2 linked regions of the Mytilus edulis genome follow. Each later gene encodes a partner of the first gene's protein in a complex. Links are inferred from orthologs where the notes say so. Each region holds a gene or a part of one and is shown in the gene's direction. Other genes may lie near its edges. The genes, in order: mediator of RNA polymerase II transcription subunit 24-like and mediator of RNA polymerase II transcription subunit 25-like.

What was found.
Region 2: mediator of RNA polymerase II transcription subunit 24-like (region 1) and mediator of RNA polymerase II transcription subunit 25-like share a complex: the UniProt entries of both Homo sapiens proteins name them as parts of the mediator complex. The link is inferred for Mytilus edulis from reciprocal best matches to the Homo sapiens genes MED24 and MED25.

The regions. Positions count from the first base shown.
Region 1 is NC_092345.1:94,570,735-94,581,008, forward strand, and holds the start of mediator of RNA polymerase II transcription subunit 24-like, read left to right. Parts: upstream 1-5,205; 5' UTR 5,206-5,254; exon of another isoform or gene 5,255-5,372; intron 5,373-7,858; 5' UTR 7,859-7,904; coding exon 7,905-8,067; intron 8,068-8,505; coding exon 8,506-8,588; intron 8,589-9,700; coding exon 9,701-9,813; intron 9,814-10,274. Other genes in the region: uncharacterized protein, read right to left, coding at 1-163, 912-1,400, 2,302-2,671, 3,382-3,477, 5,103-5,137. UniProt on the Homo sapiens protein: Component of the Mediator complex, a coactivator involved in the regulated transcription of nearly all RNA polymerase II-dependent genes.
Region 2 is NC_092350.1:24,519,039-24,530,140, forward strand, and holds the start of mediator of RNA polymerase II transcription subunit 25-like, read left to right. Parts: upstream 1-6,784; 5' UTR 6,785-6,828; coding exon 6,829-6,947; intron 6,948-11,102. Other genes in the region: probable 4-coumarate--CoA ligase 3, read right to left, coding at 155-362, 791-1,066. UniProt on the Homo sapiens protein: Component of the Mediator complex, a coactivator involved in the regulated transcription of nearly all RNA polymerase II-dependent genes.

The DNA.
Region 1 (10,274 bases):
CTGCCAAAACAGGTTGTTTGGTGGACCTATTTGGTTTTGTATTACAGTCTTTGACAGTAACAGTATCATCTTGTACAACAACTATCCTCTGACTTTGTTTGACCTTGTCATTTTTTATCTTTATATCACTATGTTCATAGGCTGTTGCAGCTCGTTTAGGTATCTACAAATATTTATAACAGAGGTTTGAAATTGTTAAAATTCAGAATTATAAATGTGTTTAAAAAAACATAAATATTTTAGTCATTTCTTTTTAAAATCAGACATGCATGAATGACATATTTCAGGATCCTTGATTATGACATTGTATCAATAATATGTTCTTTAACTTGGGGTTAAAACTTCATGGTTTTGTCTCTATATAAATTTTCATGGGGATTTAATTTTGTGGATATAATAATATTCGTTCCACGAAATAAACGAAACTAAATCCTTCACAAAAACTTTTACTGCTTTTACAGTAGTTTGCAAATTTTTCTATAGTAATAAATGAATTAAAAATTTGAATGTGTACTCAAATAATCATGCTTACAGCAAAATCATAATTTGTTGAACTGGATTGCAATCAATGACATGAAATGGCTACAGTGGTGTATAAACAGCATGATACACTCAGTGGTTCTCTCTTCATACATGTACATATTGACATTTTCTGACAGAACAATGCTTGTATTGGGACACATTCAATGTTTAATTACAGTACATGTACACTTAACAATTAATGTTAGTTTTTTTTAAATCTAATTTACTGATACTTTTATGTTTGTACATTTTGTAGTTTTATCATATTTTGCCTTTAAATATTGGTACAAATATATATACTTCTGGACATTGCCTATATAGCTATCTACCATAATTGTAAATGCAAATTACCATATTCCGCATGTACAAGAAAGATTGGATATAATTACCTTTCTCTTTCTTCTGCTTGTCCTAGGTGTATATTCCTCATCCATGTCTTCATCAACAGAATGAGAGAGGAATGTAGAACTATTAGTGTTATACCTCCCAGATTGTTTTATTTCCCGCCCAAAAGCTGTGACAGATGGCAGGAGAATTTCACACATGGTACCACAGTTGACTAATCCTTGTTTTTTGATTGGATAGTTAGTCTGAACAGCAGTATCAGTTGTCTTAGGTTTCTCAGTCTGAACACATTTGTTACAGAATTCCCTTTTCTTGTATTCTGCTGACTGCTTTTTACCAGTTCTTAATAATGTCTGTAGTCTTTTCTGAAGCATTAACAAGGACCATAACTCTCCAGCAACAGTATAACTTTCTTCTTGTTTTGTAATTTGGAACACATCACCTTTTTCTAACTGGTCTAAGTAACCAGAATGGTTGGTAAACATCTCAGCACATATGTCCTCTGACAAAAACGCAACTACATGTGAAAATATCTGAAGAGAAAAAAAGTAGAAATATTTTGAGTGCCTTCAATTTGCTTTACATATTAAAATTATATGATTACAATGTAAACTAATAAAGGGAATATATTAGGTAACTGTTTTTTCATCAATAACTTTTTTCACATAATTCAGTGATTGTTACTTGACTAAACAATCAGTAAGTAAATCATCAACAACAAATGGCATTGTTCACCTTCACCTTCAATTTACATTTATATTTTATGTTCCTGGTGACTATTACTCAAACATAGCCTTCAGAATCATCAAGTTTTCAAATTTTAACCTCTGTTTAAGAAGAGGTCAAGGATGAAAAACAAGAATGTGTCCAAAGTACACGGATGCCCCACTGGCACAATCATTTTCCATGTTCAATGGACCGTGAAAATGGGTAAAAAATATAATTAGGCGTTAAAATTAAAAAGATCATATCATAGGGAACATTTGTACTAAGTTTCAAGTTGATTGGACTTCAACTTCATCAAAAACTACCTTGACCAAAAACTTTAACCTGAAACTCGCACTTTCATTTTCTATGTTCAATGGACCGTGAAATAGGGGTCAAAAGTTTAATTTGTCTTTAAAATTAGAAAGGTCATATCATAAGGAACATATGTACTAAGTTTCAAGTTGATTGGACTTCAGCTTCATCAAAAATTACCTTGACCAAAAACTTTAACCTGTGGCGGGACAGACGGACGAACGAACGGACGGACGGACAAACGGACGCACAGACCAGAAAACATAATGCCCCCCTACTATCGTAGGTGGGGCATAAAAATCTCTAACATGTAAGCTGATATCAGGATTTTACCAAAAGCTACATATTATATTAAAACCTATTTTTATTTTTCATTGCAGACGAGGCAATAAACCAGAATTGAATTTTATTTACCTTCTTTTCCTCATAAGGTTCATATGACTGTATTCTATATTGTAGACTTATGTTATTGCGAAAATTATCAGATGGCACATTGCCACTCGCAACCACATCTGGCATGTAGTCAGTGACAAAGGTCAATGTTTGGGTCATGTTGGGAACACACAACATTTGATTACCAACAATAGGGAGACCATCATTGGTTGAAATTTGATTATCCACATTTCCTGATGAGGTGAATACAATCTGATTGGTACTTTCAATAAGACTTGATGCTTCAATGTTGTTTTGTGATAATGATTCTACACCATTAACAGACAGAAGCTGTCCATTTTGAACATCACTAAGACCAGTCTGTAGGGTAATACCATGCTGGGCAAGCAGCCTGCAAAAATACAAAAGTACATTTATAATGCAGTACTTTTACTTACAGAACATGCAATTTTTCATAAATGATAAAATTAAGGTGGTACCTTACACTACAGGGAGATAACTCTGTAAAATCAGCTAAACGTTTTAATTACGTTGTGTTGTTAAGGGAATATTAAGCTTCTCAATGATCAAAATTAGTGTTTGTCAAACTGCTATATAACCAGTGTAATTTTTCTGATAAAATGGTTGGTTCAAATTTTTTGAAATTTTTACATTTTTGTCAAAGGGTCAAAGCAAATACTATGCCAAAATTTTATGAAAATTAAACGAGCCAAGTTAATTTTAGTGAAGGTGTTGGGTACCACCTTAAATAAATTACACAAATCAGCATGACAATTATCACAAGAGTTCATGCGCTGAACTGTCTCACCTGTTTTACTTATCATTAAAGTTATGTTGAAAGTATATGTAACATAATGGTTTTACAACAAGTATCACATAAACTTAACATTATAAATATTATTATTATAATGAGGTAATGGTCAGATGAACCAGGATTCCAGTCCTGTATAGTTGTGTGTACTATCTCTAGAATACCATACACATATTGTTGAGACTGTATAATTTTATAAGAATCTGTATACAGCATGTACATATAGGAGGCTCATAACTACTACTACTGTTAACTATATAACATTTCTAAATTCAAGTTATCATATTTACCTTGTAAGGGCTATATTATTGCTTCCATCTACATGTAGCAGTGGGATGTTTATAACTTCCAGTCCAGCTGTAGTCTGGCCATGGCCTTCTTGTGGGCTATATTTACAAATATATGTAGAAGTAAATTAATGTACATGTATGTAAATATGAAAATAAAAGATATTCTCCAACTTACATGTATATATATCTAAACATTCTCAAATTTGGTCTATTTAAGAAAAATAAATTAAATCATTCTTCAGTGGTAACGCTTGAAAGACTTAAAACAGAAGTTCAGCATGCCAAACCACAAAATACAGAAACTTTTGAGTATGCCAAACTACAATGCAGTAACCAATCTCGTTAAATAAAACATCTTATCCAGGAATGAACAAAAATTCCCACCAAGGGTTGTTAACTTTTATATCTAGTTGATGCTAGGCCGGAAAACTTTTCAGACTGGACAGGTTAGTCTGTAATCAGAGTAGTTTTTCAGTTGTATATACAAATATTATTGTCCATTTGTTATGATGAACCTTAAAATGAACTCCAATCTATAAAAAGATGAAAATGTATGATGGTTGCGCCAAATACACTTTCGCTCCCTACAGGTTTGCCCCTTTGGTCCGTTCGCACATGATAAATAAGCTAAATTTGGTGTTATTGCTGTGTGTTTGAAAATCATAAATGTTGTTTTAACTTGCCTTAGTGCATGTATTTAGCTTGGTATGAGTAAAATAATACAATTGAAAGATTTGAAATGTAAAAAAAAACCTGAAAGTCAATTGTTTTTAACAGCTTTGCCCCTTTGACATGTTTGAGCTCATGATCAGTTTATTTTGAAACAATGAAAAATAGTTATAGCAATACACTAACCAAAATGTGATGAAGATTTATTTAACACCAAAAAAAATATTGTCAGAAAAATTCCCACCTTATTTCAAAACAATGAAAACAACTGATTATCATGATTATATAGCAAATACACTTTCCAAAACTTGAATACAAATTATTTAAGTTATCTGTACTTATTAACACCATTAAAACTTGAATACAAATTATTTAACATTTAAAACCAATCAACAGGGTGCACATGTTTTCTCTGTTATTGTGTATATATATGCCGACTCTAAATAAAATTTACTTACTTACTTACTTACTTTACACAGACTTGAGGGCGAACGTACAGTATAGGAGGAATGTGAATAGGCATAAATGTGTTTAAGGGCGAACCGACCCGGATTCTCATGATTGCTATTTTGATGTCAGAGACAACTCTCCACAATAGACTAAATGACACATAAATTAACAACAATAGGTCACTGTCTTCTTCCGGTAAGGAGTTGACTTAGTAATTGATAGATTTACTAACTCTGTTAAAAAAAAACAGGAGGCTTCTCCATAAAATAAAAGTAAATATTAACCTTCAACAATGAGCAAACATACAGCATTGTTAGCTATAAAATGACCAACAATGGCAATAATGAGTGCCGATTTGACCAGGTACTAAACTGACCAGAAGTCAGTAACTGACTGTCTGAAGTACATGTACTCTTACTCTAGTCAAGGACGTATATTAGATATACGTCCTTGCTCTAGTCTAAAAGTTAGATCTGTACTTTGTAATGTTTGTGTTTTTGTTTGGTTTTATGTGCTTTGTATTGATTTAATGAATTAATCTCTTTTCATATGATTTTTAACGTTTGTTTTCATTTGTTATAATCAGAACTAAGGTTCCATACATAGAATTATCTTCAGTTAAACCACTATTTTCCATCGCTTCACTTTCAAAACATCATCTTTTAGAATTTAGTACCGGAAGTTAACTTTTGAGTCCAGTCCGACATTGAACAAGCTTTTAGGTTAGATACTTCCGGGATTTTTTTTCTTTATTGTAAGAAATCAAAATTTAATGCATTTCTGTCACAATATCACAAATGCATGCATTTTAAGCATTGGAACTTAATCAGATCTGCATGAGTATAATTCGGCTGAAGCACTCACACAATCAGGTTGGCACAACTCGGATAAAAGTCCTCTAGCCAGTGAATAACTTTGAAATATAAATTATTTGTCATGATCTGTCATAGTATATGTATCTAGACCTAACACTTAAACAAATGACAACCACTGAATTACAGGCTCCTGACTTGGGACAGGTCAGGTACATGTATGAAGGTCAGGTACATATCATAACAAAAATTATGGTACATTGCAATTCTTGCTTGTTTACATATGATGCAAAAAGTATTAAAATTACAGCAAAAAGTTGTAAAAATTGTGATCAGACTGCTCTTTTATTACATGTCAGAACCTGAATTCTTTTTTGTCAGATATGTTGGAATAGTTTGCCATAAATTTTTTTTATTATTATGCCCCAGCTAGGGGCATTACTTTTTTCGGTCTGTGCATCCATTTGTTCGTCAATCTGTAACGGCATAGATGATAGTGCTAGTGAGGCATCCTTCTACTATGGTCACATTTTTATATGACCGTATGGTCCTATATTGGTATCACGTTGGCGTCGTCTGCGTCGTCGTCGTCCGAATACTTTTAGTTTTCGCAATCTAACTTTAGTAAAATTGAATAGAAATCTATGAAATTTTAACACAAGGTTTATGACCACAAAAGGAAGGTTGGGATTGATTTTGGGAGTTTTGGTCCCAACATTTTAGGAATTAGGGGCCAAAAAAGGGCCCAAATAAGCATTATTCTTGGTTTTCGCACAATAACTTTAGTATAAGAAAATAGAAATCAATGAAATGTAAACACAAGGTTTATGACCACAAAAGGAAGGTTGGGATTGATTTTTGGAGTTGAGGTCCCAACAGTTTAGGAATAAGGGGCCAAAAAGGGGCCCAAATAAGCATTATTCTTGGTTTTCGCACCATAACTTTAGTATAAGTAAATAGAAATCTATGAAATTTAAACACAAAGTTTATGACCATAAAAGGAAGGTTGGGTTTGATTTTGGGAGTTTTGGTCCCAACAGTTTAGGAATAAGGGGCCCAAAAGGTCAAAAATTGAACTTTGTTTGATTTCATCAAAAATTGAATAATTGGGGTTCTTTGATATGCCGAATCTAACTGTGTATGTAGATTCTGAATTTTTGGTCCCGTTTTCAAATTGGTCTACATTAAGTTCCAAAGGGTCCAAAATTAAACTTAGTTTGATTTTAACAAAAAATGAATCCTTGGGGTTCTTTGATATGCTGAATATAAAAATGTACTTAGATTTTTGATTATTGGTCCAGTTTTCAAGTTGGTCCAAATTGGGGTCCAAAATTAAACATTGTTTGATTTCATCAAAAATTTAATAATTGGGGTTCTTTGATATGCCAAATCTAACTGTGTATGTAGATTCTTAATTTTTGGTTGTTTTCAAATTGGTCTACATTAAAGTCCAAGGGGTCCAAAATTAAACTAAGTTTGATTTCAACAAAAATTGAATTCTTGGGCTTTTTTGATATGCTGAATCTAAACATGTACTAAGATTTTTGATTATGGGCCCAGTTTTCAAGTTGGTTCAAATCAGGATCCAAAATTATTATATTAAGTATTGTGCAATAGCAAGAAATTTTCAATTGTACAGTATTCAGCAATAGCAAGAAATCTTCAATTGCACAGTATTTTCAATTGCACAGTATTGTGCAATAGCAAGAAATATCTAATTGCACAATATTGTGCAATAGCAAGAAATTTTCAATTGGAGTTATCTTTCTTTGTCCAGAATAGTAGTTAAATTAACTTAAATCATTGTTTTATACAATATACAATGTATATTCACTTTGACTACCAACTGCTGAATTAAAACAATCTTTACCATTCAGTGATAACAAGCACTTTATTTTACATTTTAATATTTTATGATGTACATATTTAAATGAGTAGTTATTGTTGCAAACTCCATTAGAAATTTGAATTAAGATCAGTTTTGGAAAAAGGGAAAGGGGGATGTGAAAAAAAATGGGGGGGGGGGGGGGTTAAATTTTTCTCATTTCAGATTTCATAAATAAAAAGAAAATTTCTTCAAACATTTTTTTGAGAGGATTAATATTCAACAGCATAGTGAATTGCTCAAAGGCAAAAAAAATATTTTAAGTTCATTAGACCCCATTCATTCTGTGTCAGAAACCTATGCTGTGTCAACTATTTAATCACAATACAAATTTAGAGCTGAATCCAGCTTGAATGTTTTGTCCATACTTGCCCCAACCGTTCAGGGTTCAACCTCTGCGGTTGTATAAAACTGCGCCCTGCGGAGCATCTGGTTGTTATTACTAAAGTTATCATTTATGGAATTTTTTTTTTATGGAGGAAAAGTTTACCAGTATAGATCTATACAAAGTTAATGTGCAATGAATTGTAAAGAAGTTAGTTAGTACATGTGTAATATACATGTACATGTATTATGCACCAACTTTTAACAGATGCAATGAATCTCAATCAATGAAAGGTACATTGTATATTTCATGAACATATGTTTTTATACTATGTAGGTTGAGGTATACCCCATTGCTCCTTTTGTTCATACATGAGAAGAAAATGGAACAAACTAGTTCTAACCAATCAAAAGGCAGTATATTCTGTAACAAAGTAAAGACATTGTTGATGAGAGCATGGAGAGAGCGTTGGCAGGATAACCATTGGGGAGTTATGTTAAAGAAGATGTTGCTTGATGTACCTGGAGAAGCAAAAGAATTGGCAGGTATGTCGATAAAATTGAAGAAAAAACCTTATGTTTAGTTGTCAGGTACTCATGTATATTCATTAACCCTTAATACAGAAAAGAGACAATGTTTAATAGAAGTTTAAGATTGAGATTCACTTAAAAGTTTTATGTGAGTTATTGTACTCACAAATATGAATTGTACTTTAAAAATACTCACCATGTAAATATGACATCCATTTATATAATTAATTGTGTAGAATTATTGCATGTTTGTCATTTATTTTCCTTACTTCTTATAGTCATAAAGCATGTAAAGAATGTGCATTGGCCATATAAGAATAAATTTTAATAATCTGATTCAATGAAAGCTTATATCCTTACTGGTACAATGTATACATTTTTTGAGCAGTTGATGTAATTTTATGTTGTTTGCCTAATGTTATCATAACACTTATCTTATTAATATATTTATAGAGATTTTAATGCAGCAAGCCTTAGTTGGACCAAATCCAAATAATCTGATTTTATCATACCTGAAGCACAGTGTTACTTCTCAGGTATATTTGTATAAAATTATCTTTTAAAAAGATTAAGGTTCATGTGGACCCTATGGCTATGCTATGCCTGAAAATTTTTACAGATGTGCAGGTTTGTCTGTACTCCGAGTAAATTTTGAGGTGAAAATACGGCCATTTTAGTCAAAGGGTCCACATGAATCTTAACCTGTATATATTTGAAAACAGTAGAAATTACAATGTTTGATTACTGTAAACCAACTAAATTTCGCAAGCGATTTATTTTTGCGACTTTCTCGAGTAGAAAAATAGTGCGAATTTAAATCATCTTGGATATGTAAAACTTGCATCTTTCCTTATTTAACTACATCAAGTTAGTTAGAAAATCCCGAAATTAAATTACCGCGAAATGGAATCAAAAGGGCTAAACGCGAATTAAAGTATCTGCGAAAAAAATTTGGTTTAAAGTATGTTTCACCTTTTTTTCTTTTAAATTGTTTCATATTGTGTCAATCTAGGGCCTTTTTCAGCTTACTATACAGTTTGGGTTTTGCTCAAAGTTGTATGGTGACCTATAGTTGTTCACCCCCATGACTTGGATGGATAGTTGTGTCATTTAAATTCATATTGTTACCAGGCCATGTTTCCTTATTTATTATATTTTATATATACATCTCTTAAAAGAAGCTTCATTGATTTGGAATGATTCCTGTCATATCAATTATCTCTGTCATGTGTCTATGTACCAGTACATTAAATATATGTAAATAAGTGGGAACAGTACAGAATGATAGGGTAAGTGAGAGTTAAGACAACAAAATAACTACTAATCATTTGTATTCTGTTAAATTTTAACATTTCAAGCATGTATATGTATTATTCAAATACCCTGGTGATTTGAAAGCATATTTTTTTCCTTTATTGTTTTAAGCCAATAATAACAGTGAGTGTCAGGTTCTCTAACACATTATTTTACTTTCATAGAAGGTCCTTTATAAGTATGACAATTCCTTGGAAAGATCAAGTATGTCAAGAGATTTTCAAGAGGAGAAATTAACCCAATACATAAAATTAAAAAAAAAAAAGTTTATACAAATGAATATTATGAATTCAGATTCACCATAATATTCACTTATGTGATTGTTTATTTTCAGGTTATACCTTACAATACTGCATTAGGACTTATAACAAAATATGATGAATTCTCTAAACCTTACTGTATACTAGGTCTCATCAATATGGTGGAAAATATTGCCACAAATTTCAGGTATTCTATCATATGTAGCTCAAATGGTAGAAAATGTAGCCATTGTCTGCAGATACATTTGAATTGTATAAGATATAGATTGATTGGTGTTAAACACCAGTGTATTTGTCAAACCTGCGACTTTTGTTGCAGAAATAGGGATAGTGAATCGGCGGCGGCGTTAGCTAACTTCTTAAAAGCATTATATTTAAAAATTAGGAAGACCTGGATGCTTCATACTTTGTATATAGATGCCTCATGTTACGAAGTTTCCGTCAGTCACATGTCTAATGTCCTTGACCTCATTTTCATGGTTCAGTGAGTACTTGAAAAAAAAGTTAAGATTTTTTTGTAATGTTAAATTCTTTTTTATTATAAGTAATAGGATAACTATATTTGGTATGTGCATACCTTGCAAGGTCCTCATGCATGTCAGACAGTTTTCAATTGACCTCAACCTCATTTCATGGATCAGTGAACAA
Region 2 (11,102 bases), on another chromosome or scaffold:
TGACCATAATCCTTTTTTGTTTTAGACATGTTCAATGGGGTTTGATTAAAAAAAAAAATATGTATAGTGATTTGTCTTTTATTAAAGTGCATAAATATCTTGGACAATTTTTCACTAATACTTTAAAAAACTTTCTCTTTATAACATTTCTTACCATCCGTATATACAGGGTTGGCAGTGCTAACAATAACTCCTAGTGCACTACAGGCCATAAACATGATAGCATACTCAGGACAATTGCTACAAAATATTAGAAATCTATCTCCTTTCTTGAACCCCATTTTAGTCAATGCACTAGCTACTTTAATGGAATATTCCTTTAGTTGCCTTCCACTGAAATGTCTGCCTGATGTATTATCAACCTGAAAAAAGTATACAAATTATCGATTTATCATACCACAAAAAATGAAACACATCAATATACCACTTTTAAGTTATGTTCTTCACTGGAAAACTTCATCATTTATACGCTCCTTTATTATATGATGTCATTTACGTAATAGAGTGGATCACCTATATTACTGCACTATCAAATTTCATCAAGTGTCTTCATGGTTGTCATTATGCAGGATTTTGATTTGATTAGCAGTTGCATTTAGATTACAGTATAAAAATCAAACACTTCAGTACAATTTAAAAAATAACTGTATGTATAAAAAATAAACAAAAAACTGTGCTATGTACATGTATAATATTTCCAATCCTTAAGTACATTTTTTTTTTTTATCTCAAACCATTAAAACCCCATTCATTTGCCATTGTAAACCTGTGAAGAAAATACTTTACACACCATCAATGCAAAATCAGAAAAGTTATCGAGCTGTTCAAACACATATTCTGCGAAGGAACACTGTGGTATTGAGAGATCTGGATATGGACTCCGTACTATTGTCTCTCCATTGACGTTAGTAATAGGAGGTACACTCCTTTTGTCTGTACTGTAATGTAAACATGTGGACCTTGCTTGTGACAATTTATTTCTGTGATGTGGTTTTGGAAACAACTGTCTTGTTAAATGAGTACATGAAGCAGGAAATATTCTTAAACTTCTCGGTATTGCTGCCATTTTGTTAACTGTATATCATCTAACTGAAAAGAAAACATGGAAAGTATTAATAGTATATGACATGTATAAATCAAACAAGAGGCTCCCAAGAGCCTGAATCGCTAACAAGGTAAAAATATGTAACTTTGATATTCATCTTACTTTTATTGCGATCAGTTTGATTATTTGCCAATCTGATTGCAAGACATTGTTGTACATGTTAATTGTATTAATGAAATTTGCTTCATACTTATCTAGTAATCTTTTGGACCTGATGGGCAAAACTAAAGAAATTATTAAAAAAAAAAAACAATGATTTAAGGGCAATATATCCAGTAAGGAGTGGGATAATTTGGCCCTGTTAAATGTTAACTTGCTGATCTTATCATCTATTTTGCTTTTTAAAATTTTCACCCTAACCACTGTAGCATGTAAAGCCTATGACTATATAAAAATTCAAAATATTGAGTAAATCATTCCTCAGGGGAAATAACTCATATTTCGATTGACTGTTTTGGTCATGATGATTTATTTGAAGGACTCATTTGCTAAACATTTTTGCTGCAAACCATTTCTGTCTATTTCTTATAGTTTCTGCAAAAAAATCCCAGAAAAATGGGTACCAAGAGTGCACACACTATAATCCTAATGTCTCACCTGGTTTTCTTAAAATTGCATTAATGATTTATTTATATTTTTTGTAATGAAAATATTTCATTAATTGAAATCAAGACAACACTGCAAACCTTCATGTATACATACATCATTGTACATGTATTGAACCAAATTTCATTTCATAAGACATGTACATCATGTACATGATGTAAGAGGGAGCAAACCAACCCCTGCGAAATGATTATGAATAATTCATGAATGTTCATGGATGATTCATGAATGATTCATGAACACAATTCATGAATTAAAGATTCATGAACAGTTAATGAACTAGACATGAACTACAAATGGACATCACAAGTATTAAATTATGTAAGAGTCAGTTTAGGTAGATAAATAACATGTATAATTAAAAATGTCATTTGAATATTATATATTTTGCAAAAAACTAAATTGGTTTACACATGGTCATGTGTAGCAACATCTGCCTTCTCACTCATAACACCTGAGAATACCCCCAGTTTTTGAGAGGTTCATGGCTCTATGTCTACATGTCTAATGTCTTTTAAAAGTTTTCTATGTTGTGTTTCGTGTACTCAGGTCTTAGTCCTGTCATGGCTTTTGTTTTTTTCCCAAGGTGTTTTCAGTTTGTTTTCCATTTTTGAGGTTGAATGTCCCTTTCTCCTCTTTTTCACATAAAATACATGAAATATATCGTTTTATATAAATATCTGAATGTATTGACAAAAATACGAAGTTCAGATATGAATTGTGATTCATAACAGTTAAAGGAATAAAGCTGCAGATGCACACACAAATACAAAATAGAATAGAATAATTTTATTCACCAAATTAGGACCCCAGGAGGCCATATATGCATAAAACAATACATAAAAGCTTTGAAATACTGAATTTGCTTTTAATGTATGTCATGTATGTAAATTCATAAATTGCACTGTATTGAGAGGTTTAAATTAATGCTGATAATGCGACAGGGGCAGTATTGCAATGAACAGAACCCAAATTCTAATATCTGATGCATGTGAAATTGTGAATGTTTAAAGCTTTTCCTGAATTCACAATAGTTATTAATAACTCTTGCATTCATCATGTTACTGGCAATTCTATAACAAAAGTAAATGTATGCAATATTTCTGAATATACTGTAATAGACCACTTTCGAGTTTGTCCTTCATCGAAAAAACTCATCAATTATGAGCGCCTTTATGACATTGTTTACCAGATAGAGGGGATCACCTGTATTCCTGCACTATTAACTTTCATCAAGAGTCTAAATAAATGTCATTGTGCAGGATAAAATAGAAATAATATTCGTTCTGTAGGTACTTAATCACAATTCCCTAATGACAGCAGTGCTGATTGTCAATTATGAGAGTTCAGTTTGCCGAATAATTTCAAATTTGTGCAATACTGTATAGCAGGTTATTTTTGTGGGTGTAAATTTTCGAAATTTTTAGCGGATAGAACAAAATCGACAAAATAAATTCCACCAATTTAAAAATGCACATGTAAAAGTATTGACAAAATTTTTGAATTCAACAAAATATTATATGCCAAAATATTTCGTATACCTTATCATGCTTTTTCAACATTTGTTCAATGAAAATCACGAAATTTTACACCCACAAAATTAACACGATAAAAGGTATATTATAATATATAGCATCATACTTTCATAGTCTTCCAACCACTAAATCAACATTGGAACTGAAGTGATGATGACTTAAACACACCAATGTTCACTAAAACAAAAGATTTTGTCGAGAATGCATCAAACTCAAAAGTTGTTTTTTATCGACTCCTATTGAATGATGGACAGTCAGTACGTGAATTTTTCTTGCTACGTGATTGGAAGATATTACGAGACGTGAATAATCAAAGTTTATTGATTGGTTAGGACAATCCAAACCTAGTAAATGTCCTTCAATCCCGTAGAGTATCAAATTTGTCCTCTCTATTTTAGCAATTAGATTTTGCCTGGTCATTAATCATGCATACAGGGGGCGGATTTAGGCGGGGGCGTGGCGGGCGTGCGCCCCCCCTAAAATTTAAAAAGCATGGGTTGTCCTCAGCTAAATAAAGTATCTGAACAGATGACGAATATCAATGTCGTCGCATTGCATCTGTTTTAATATTCAAAGAAGTATATAAAACAATAAGTTTAACAGAATCAACATGATTACTAATAAACTGACTTACGGTTTATTCATAAGTTCTATAAATATATTATGCTTCAAAGAAAGGTATCAAACGCGGTACTGCGTTTGGTGAAAAATTATCATAGGCTTTTAGCAGTTCAAGTAAAACAATTGTGACAGGGTACAGGGATCTCCATGGATGAAAATTGAACCATGGAGGAACTTTCACCATTATAAACCGTGTATACGCTGTACAGTGTAGCACGATCGGAAGTATTTTATCCCTCCATACAAGGAATGGTGAACATGCCAATTCATTGCTTATTGAAATTATATTTATTTGAATTTTCATTATAGAATTAGAAGTGTCAATATGTTCATTTATTGCCGTTTTTAACCATTCCAATACCAAGTCTTCATGGTCCCCCCTTAGTCGAGAATGACTAAAAGCTGTCATGAAGGTCCCCATGTAGATCGCTTGTATTTTTGGTAATTGTTATGGGGGTTAAAAATCATATGATGTGGATCTTATTTTTCATGAACACTGTCAAATTCAGAACCCATTACCGGTATGGCTGATTTGCAGCAACAACAAAACGATTGGTACGGGTTATGTAAAAGGTTAAAGAGATTTGTAAAGCAAATGAAAAGGTTTTTAATGACTTTATCTGACAAATTGATGCTGTGCAACATGCATCTTTCGAGTCTGAATAGAAACCGGAAACGCGGATGTATCAATTTGATTGTAATATACGAAATGAATTCGGAATTACGATACGATATTTCTTGACAGGAAATATTTATAAGTTTTTACTTTTAAACTTTTAAAGTCATTTTAAATTATCGTTACAGCAGTACTCGAGTTATTTGTGATGAAATAATATTTACTGTTTTGCGTCTTATTTTGTACTTCTTAAAAAAGGGGGATGCTGATTGCGCAAGTCAAAATAAAGCACGTGTTTGACTTGTTAAACTGTTTTCTTTGTAACTGGATTATTAATTTATTTATTTAATCTAAATTATCATAATCATTTGCTGAAACTTAGTTGATTAATTCGACAAATGGATCGTCTATCCTCAGATAGTATTCTCCTGTCTGGTTTGTTGATCTACCTGTACAAGCTCAGGTACAAGTGATTAGCGATCTTAATCCGGATATCCCCCAGGCGTTAGAACTGTGTTGGATTATAACATAAAAAGCCTGAGGGTTATGCAATTACATGCATTTGATTATAATTGATAAAAAAATGGCGTCGGGCTACAAAAAAGATGAAGTTTTGAACATGTTGAACGATGGCGGAAGACAATTTAACGATGGCGCAAGATAATTTAACGATGGAGCAAGTCATTTGACGATGGCGCAAGACATTTGAACGATGGCGGGGCGCCATCGTTAAACAGGCCATGGAGATCCCTGGGGTAGTTGCGGATGTTATAAACAATTTCTTGGATAATCGAAGTTCAAAAACAACCCTACCTTACTTTCCCACGAAGTAGGCGAAAGTGCCCTACCCGCGGTTGGGTTGGTTATTTCATCATGGCACTGCCAAGAAAACAGTCCTGTTTAAACTCTTTCTTAATGAAATATAGGAATACTGGTTCAAGCGAAAGTTAGTTTATTAATTTGTATCATTATTTAATATCTCTGTATGATATCAATATATGTTTCTCACTTTCAACCTGTAAAGTTTGCCGAAGCCTACATACACGGTAAAGGCCCTAACCCGTACTACCGTATTACATAGGATCCCACGAAAATAAACATATCTTCGCAAGGACCTCTTTCGGATTTTACTGGTTTGCGGTAAAAATGTATATAAAAAGTTTGACACGACCTCCGGAAAAAAAAGAGAAAAATTAAGAAAAGGCAATTAAAAATCGCTGGCAAAAGTAGAACTTTTTGTTTTCGAAATCTTATATTGGTTGGTGAGCTATTATTGAGTCAATGAATAGAAGCTCGCAGATTTCTTGTTAATTAGGTGATTGCAGATTGTAAGGGGTGGATTTATGCGGGTTTAGCTTGAAACTTTAATTTCTCGCTAATTTTACCACAAAATATTTATTTCTCAATACGCTTGGCGAGATATCTACATTGCACCCTCTCTAAAAGAATATTTCAATAATTTCGAAATTAATACCTCCAAAAATTTTTCGCCTCGCTCCGCTCAGCGAAAATTTAAATTTGCGCCCCCCCTAACCGAAAATCCTGGATCCGTCCCTGGCATATTCATGATATTGGACCACAGGTAACTTTTATCTATAAATAGTCGAATCTCCAGATCTGGAGTTTCGTAGACAACAATGTTAAACGATATGTATACTACTTCATAACGTGTGACCTCACGGTGTGGTAAAATTTGTTGATTGATGCACATGGTTATTCTAGTAAATGTATTAATCTACAAAGCGAGAGCACTTTCATCAGCTAAGAGTCGACTAGCCCTTTTTGAAAGGCTAATGCTTGTTGATATTGTTGTTGATTCACGTCCAGTGGCAAATATTTCATCTATCAACCAGAGACATATAAAAACCCAAAGAACTTATAGTATTAAGGATAAAAATCATTTGCATGATTAAAAATCATAAAACTGTCGCAGATTTTACATTCCTAATTACTTAAAACAACACCAATATCTCTTAAGAGCTACCTATATAACTGTTTAATACCCTCGCTGCAAACTGACAGACTAAGTGCCAACTTTTGACCTTTCGCCTATTCCGTAATTTCACCCGTTTTCGTTTCGAGTTTTATTTTGTAGAAGAAATATATTTTTGCCAAATAATCGTAAAAAACTAATATTTGTCACAAACAAATTTAACTTATGTCCATTATGCTGAAAATTTACGATGTAATATATTAAAAGATGCTTACATATGAACATTTCCCGAAGAAGAATAAGAACTATATTTAACGGTTTCGTAATTCATGCGCATGCGGAATAACGTAAAAGTATCTGTCAATCGCCCTACTTCCGTTTACAATTTCCATATGCTAGAAAGAAACGGACGATGGTAATCTCAGACAGTTTTAAAAACCCGTCAGATGTTGTATTTGTTGTTGAAGGAACTGCAAATCTCGGTGGATATATTGACGTCTTAAAGGAGAATTATATTATCCCCACTTTAGAGTAAGAGAACGTTGATTGTTATTAATGTTTTTAATTTTGTTTGACATTTATTTATTTCTTAGTTCAAACTTTGGGGATTCCCCATTTACTTTTGGGGAATATTATACTTTAAGGAAGTGTTCTTTGGAATAACCTGTGTCTGTAATAAAGATTAAAACTACCATTATCAATTCTAAGAAGCATAGGCACTTGTTTTTATCCATTGGAAGCCCCACTATCAACGTATATTTATGAATAATATACGTTGATAGTGGGACTTTCAATGGATAGAAACAAGTGTCTGTGTTAAGAAGTGTGTTGTTAACAGGTTAACACGAATAACCAAAGAAAGATATATATACATATACTAGAACAAACCCGTGATATCGCGGGTCCGTGACTGAATTAAAGTATATAACTATGCGCAAGCCTTATTTTAGTATTAGTATTGTCATCTGATAAAGTCATGACGATTATAAGATACACAGTTTTCTCTGCTTTCAAATCTTTCTGTTTGAATCCGTCGAACTGGAACTTATCAATTATTGGTAATATTAATTATTTGGAAAACAAAAGGTCCTGGAATGGAGTATTTTTTAATCAACAGCATTGTCTTATATTAGTTATAAATAAAGTTGAATTCTTTGATTCACTGTTTTACTTCACGCTTACAATTTGAAAACTGTACCTATACGCCTTATTTTTAGTCCAGATTTTTGTCGAGCCTGCAACTTTTGTTGCAGAAAGCTCGACATAGGGATAGTGATCCGGCGGCAGCTACGGCAGTGGTGTTAGCTCACTTCTTAAAAGCTTTATATTTCAGAAGGTGGAAGACCTGGATGCTTCATACTTTGTATATAGATGCTTCATGTTACGAAGTGTCCGTCAGTCACACGTCCAATGTCCTTGACCTCATTTTCATGGTTCAGTGACCACTTGAAAAAAAAGTTCAAATTTTTTGTAATATTGAATTCTCTCTTATTATAAGTAATAGGATAACTATATTTGGTATGTGAGTACCTTGCAAGGTCCTCACGTCTGTCAGACAGTTTTCACTTGACCTCGACCTCATTTCATGGATCAGTTTTGGTGGTCAAGTCCATATCTCAGATACTATAAGCAATAGGGCTAGTATATTCGGTGTATGGAATGACTGTAAGGTGTACATGTCCAACTGGCAGGTGTCATCTGACCTTGACCACATTTTCATGGTTCAGTGGTTATAGTTAAATTTTTGTGTTTTGGTCTGTTTTTCTCATACTATATGCAATAGGTATACTATATTTGTTGTATGGAATGATGGTAAGGTGTACATGTCTAGCGGGCAGATGTCATGTGACCTTGACCTCATTTTCATGGTTCAGCGGTCAAAGTTAAGTTTTTGAGTTTTGGTCTTTTTATCTAATACTGTATGCCATAGGTCAACTATATTTGGTGTATGGAAATATTTTATGATCTTTATGTCAGTCGCGCAGGTTTCATTTGACCGTGACATCATTTTCACGGTTCATTGCACAGTGTTAAGTTTTTGTGTTTTGGTCTATTTTTCTTAAACTATAACATGTATAAGTAATGGGTCAACTATATATGTTGTATAGAAGCATTGTTAGCTGTACATGTCTGCCTGGCATGGTTCATCTGACCTTGACCTCATTTTCAAGGTTCATTGGTCTTTGTTTAGTTATCTTGGTTAATGTTAAGTTTATGAGACAGTTGTAATAAAACTAAGCTTTATACTTAGGACTATCAACATAATATCAATGATTAGTATAGAAGGCGAGACATTTCAGCGTGTGCACTCTTGTTAGTATTCGTATTGTTATCTGAGAAAGTCTTACTGATTAAAATACTACAATAGGTAACAATTTGACAATTTAGTAGTGTCAACCCTGTGATTATGACCCGTGTATATGGACCATAATTTGGTATTCGGCCTTTGGTTTCTTGTTGTATCCTTTTTTATAAGTTCTAAAACTTTAACTTTTATTCTGTGGGTTGTGCATGTTGTGTTGGTGTTAGAATAGTATTAATGGAACAATTGAGTTCAAGAAAAAAATAATACATTTTGATTCACCGTTTACGTGACAGGAAACCAATCTTTATTTTCTTTATTTTGCACAATATATTTCAAAAGACATAAATGAACACCATTACTAGTGTTACTTGCTTCATGTTAATATTTAAAATCTATTTTCAATGTTAAATTAAAGGTTTTTTTAAACGCGACAGGAAACCATAAGAAACCGAAAGCATTTTTTTAGTTTTATTTTATTGCAAAATCTGCTTAAAATAATCTGAACAGTATACTTTTTCTTAAAATCCATCTTATATGTAACAGTATTATAAAACTCCTAAATATGTGCTTGTTTTGAAAACAATTAGTACAATTTATTCAGAAATTTCCATATTTTCTTCATTGATACAGGATACCATAATCGTTGTATCTTGATGTTTTAGCCAAAAAAATGTAGTTATATTTGGTTTTGAAATTCCAGTTATATACAATTTATTCCAAATCATGGCAATGTAAAATTCTTTAAATCCAGTAAAGAAAAAAACTTTTAACTTGGAATTAAAATCTTTAAAATAGGCACCATGTGATATTTGTGACCTGTACACCATCTACATGGTTTCCACATTTTAACCTACTTTAGTGGGCTAAAATCAATAAAGTACTTCCTTTCAAGTCATGCATGGTGAAAGTTTACTTCTCCTTTGACAAGTTTATTGTGTTTCTGAAAAGTGTTTGCAGAACATGAATAAAAAAAAATAATTAAAAATTGTGACAAAGACACCAACTTTGTACATTCCAAGTGTAACGGTATATTAACATGTATTTTTTATTAAATTATCTTAATTCACCTTAAATATCCAGTAAAATTTACTGCTGAAGCAAAATCAATCGAACGAGCATCGGCACAATGATAAGAGACATAATTTTGATTGAATTTTCCAAGATCCCTTTACATCGATATCCGGAAATGAAGTGTGTTATAACATTGTCAAATCTGAAATCGATTTTGTCAAGTCATTGGGCATTTATTTTCACACAAGATCGTATGTAACATTATGCACATAGGAAAAATAATAGACCCCCGGCGCAATCTCTTTGAAAATTGTATTTTCCTTTTTTAAACAAGAAGAAACAAGTCTACAGATTATGTTTGCTAACATCCCGTTGGAAACAAAAACAATGTTTAGACCTAGTATTTCGTATATCCGGCCGTAATAGGGTGATCACTTGTTAGTCACATGTTTCACGTATGACCGGAAATGATTAGAACTTAACGACAAAAACAATTTTAATAAAAAAAAGGAAATAACTGGACTTCTGTTTCGTGTGAAATGTAACGCATAACGATAACGTCATTTTCTAACTTAATTATTACGAAGAACAAAACTAGAATGTAAACCATCTCTGATTTACCTGTTTGAACATCTCGCGAGAGTTCATATTTGCATATTGATATAAAGAATTCTGTTACAACAAAGCAGATTACATCATCTAAAATTTGCGTTACGGAATTGGAAACGAAAGTAACGCCAGTGTTCTTACACCTACTACAGAAATACTTATAGTTCTCTGCATTTTCTTCTGACTATTCTTATTGGTCGATGTTCTTTATTATTTGAAAGCAAAAGTTAAGAATTTGCCGGTGACGATTATCTATAAATCAGTCAGCGTTATGCACTTCGGAAGCGAAAAGTATCGCGAGAAACGACACAAAAATAAGGTCGTATAATCTATGAAATTGGTTAATTTCAATTTTTTTTATAGGGAAAAGTAGCATACACTTGTATGTTGATAAAAATAAAGGCATCTTTAAATGTAGTTACAACTTTTCTTACAGAAATACACATTTTTATCACTTTTCTATCGTTATAGGAAACGAGCCCAATAGCAAATTATGGTCCATATTTAATTAATTTTGGTGCCAGTGTTTCATATTTCATGATTTTCATCTGACATGTTCAGGTTAAAAAATATAGATTTTATTAGATGACAATAACTAGGACATGTAGTGTCATTGTTTTTTGTGATAAAACAATTTAACTAGTTTCATTTCTTCTTGTGATAAAAATATTACTAGTACTGCTAGACTTAGTAAGTGGTTATCATACAAAATGAAGCATGCCTCCATGTGCTGGATTTTCTCGCTGTATTGACATGATTGA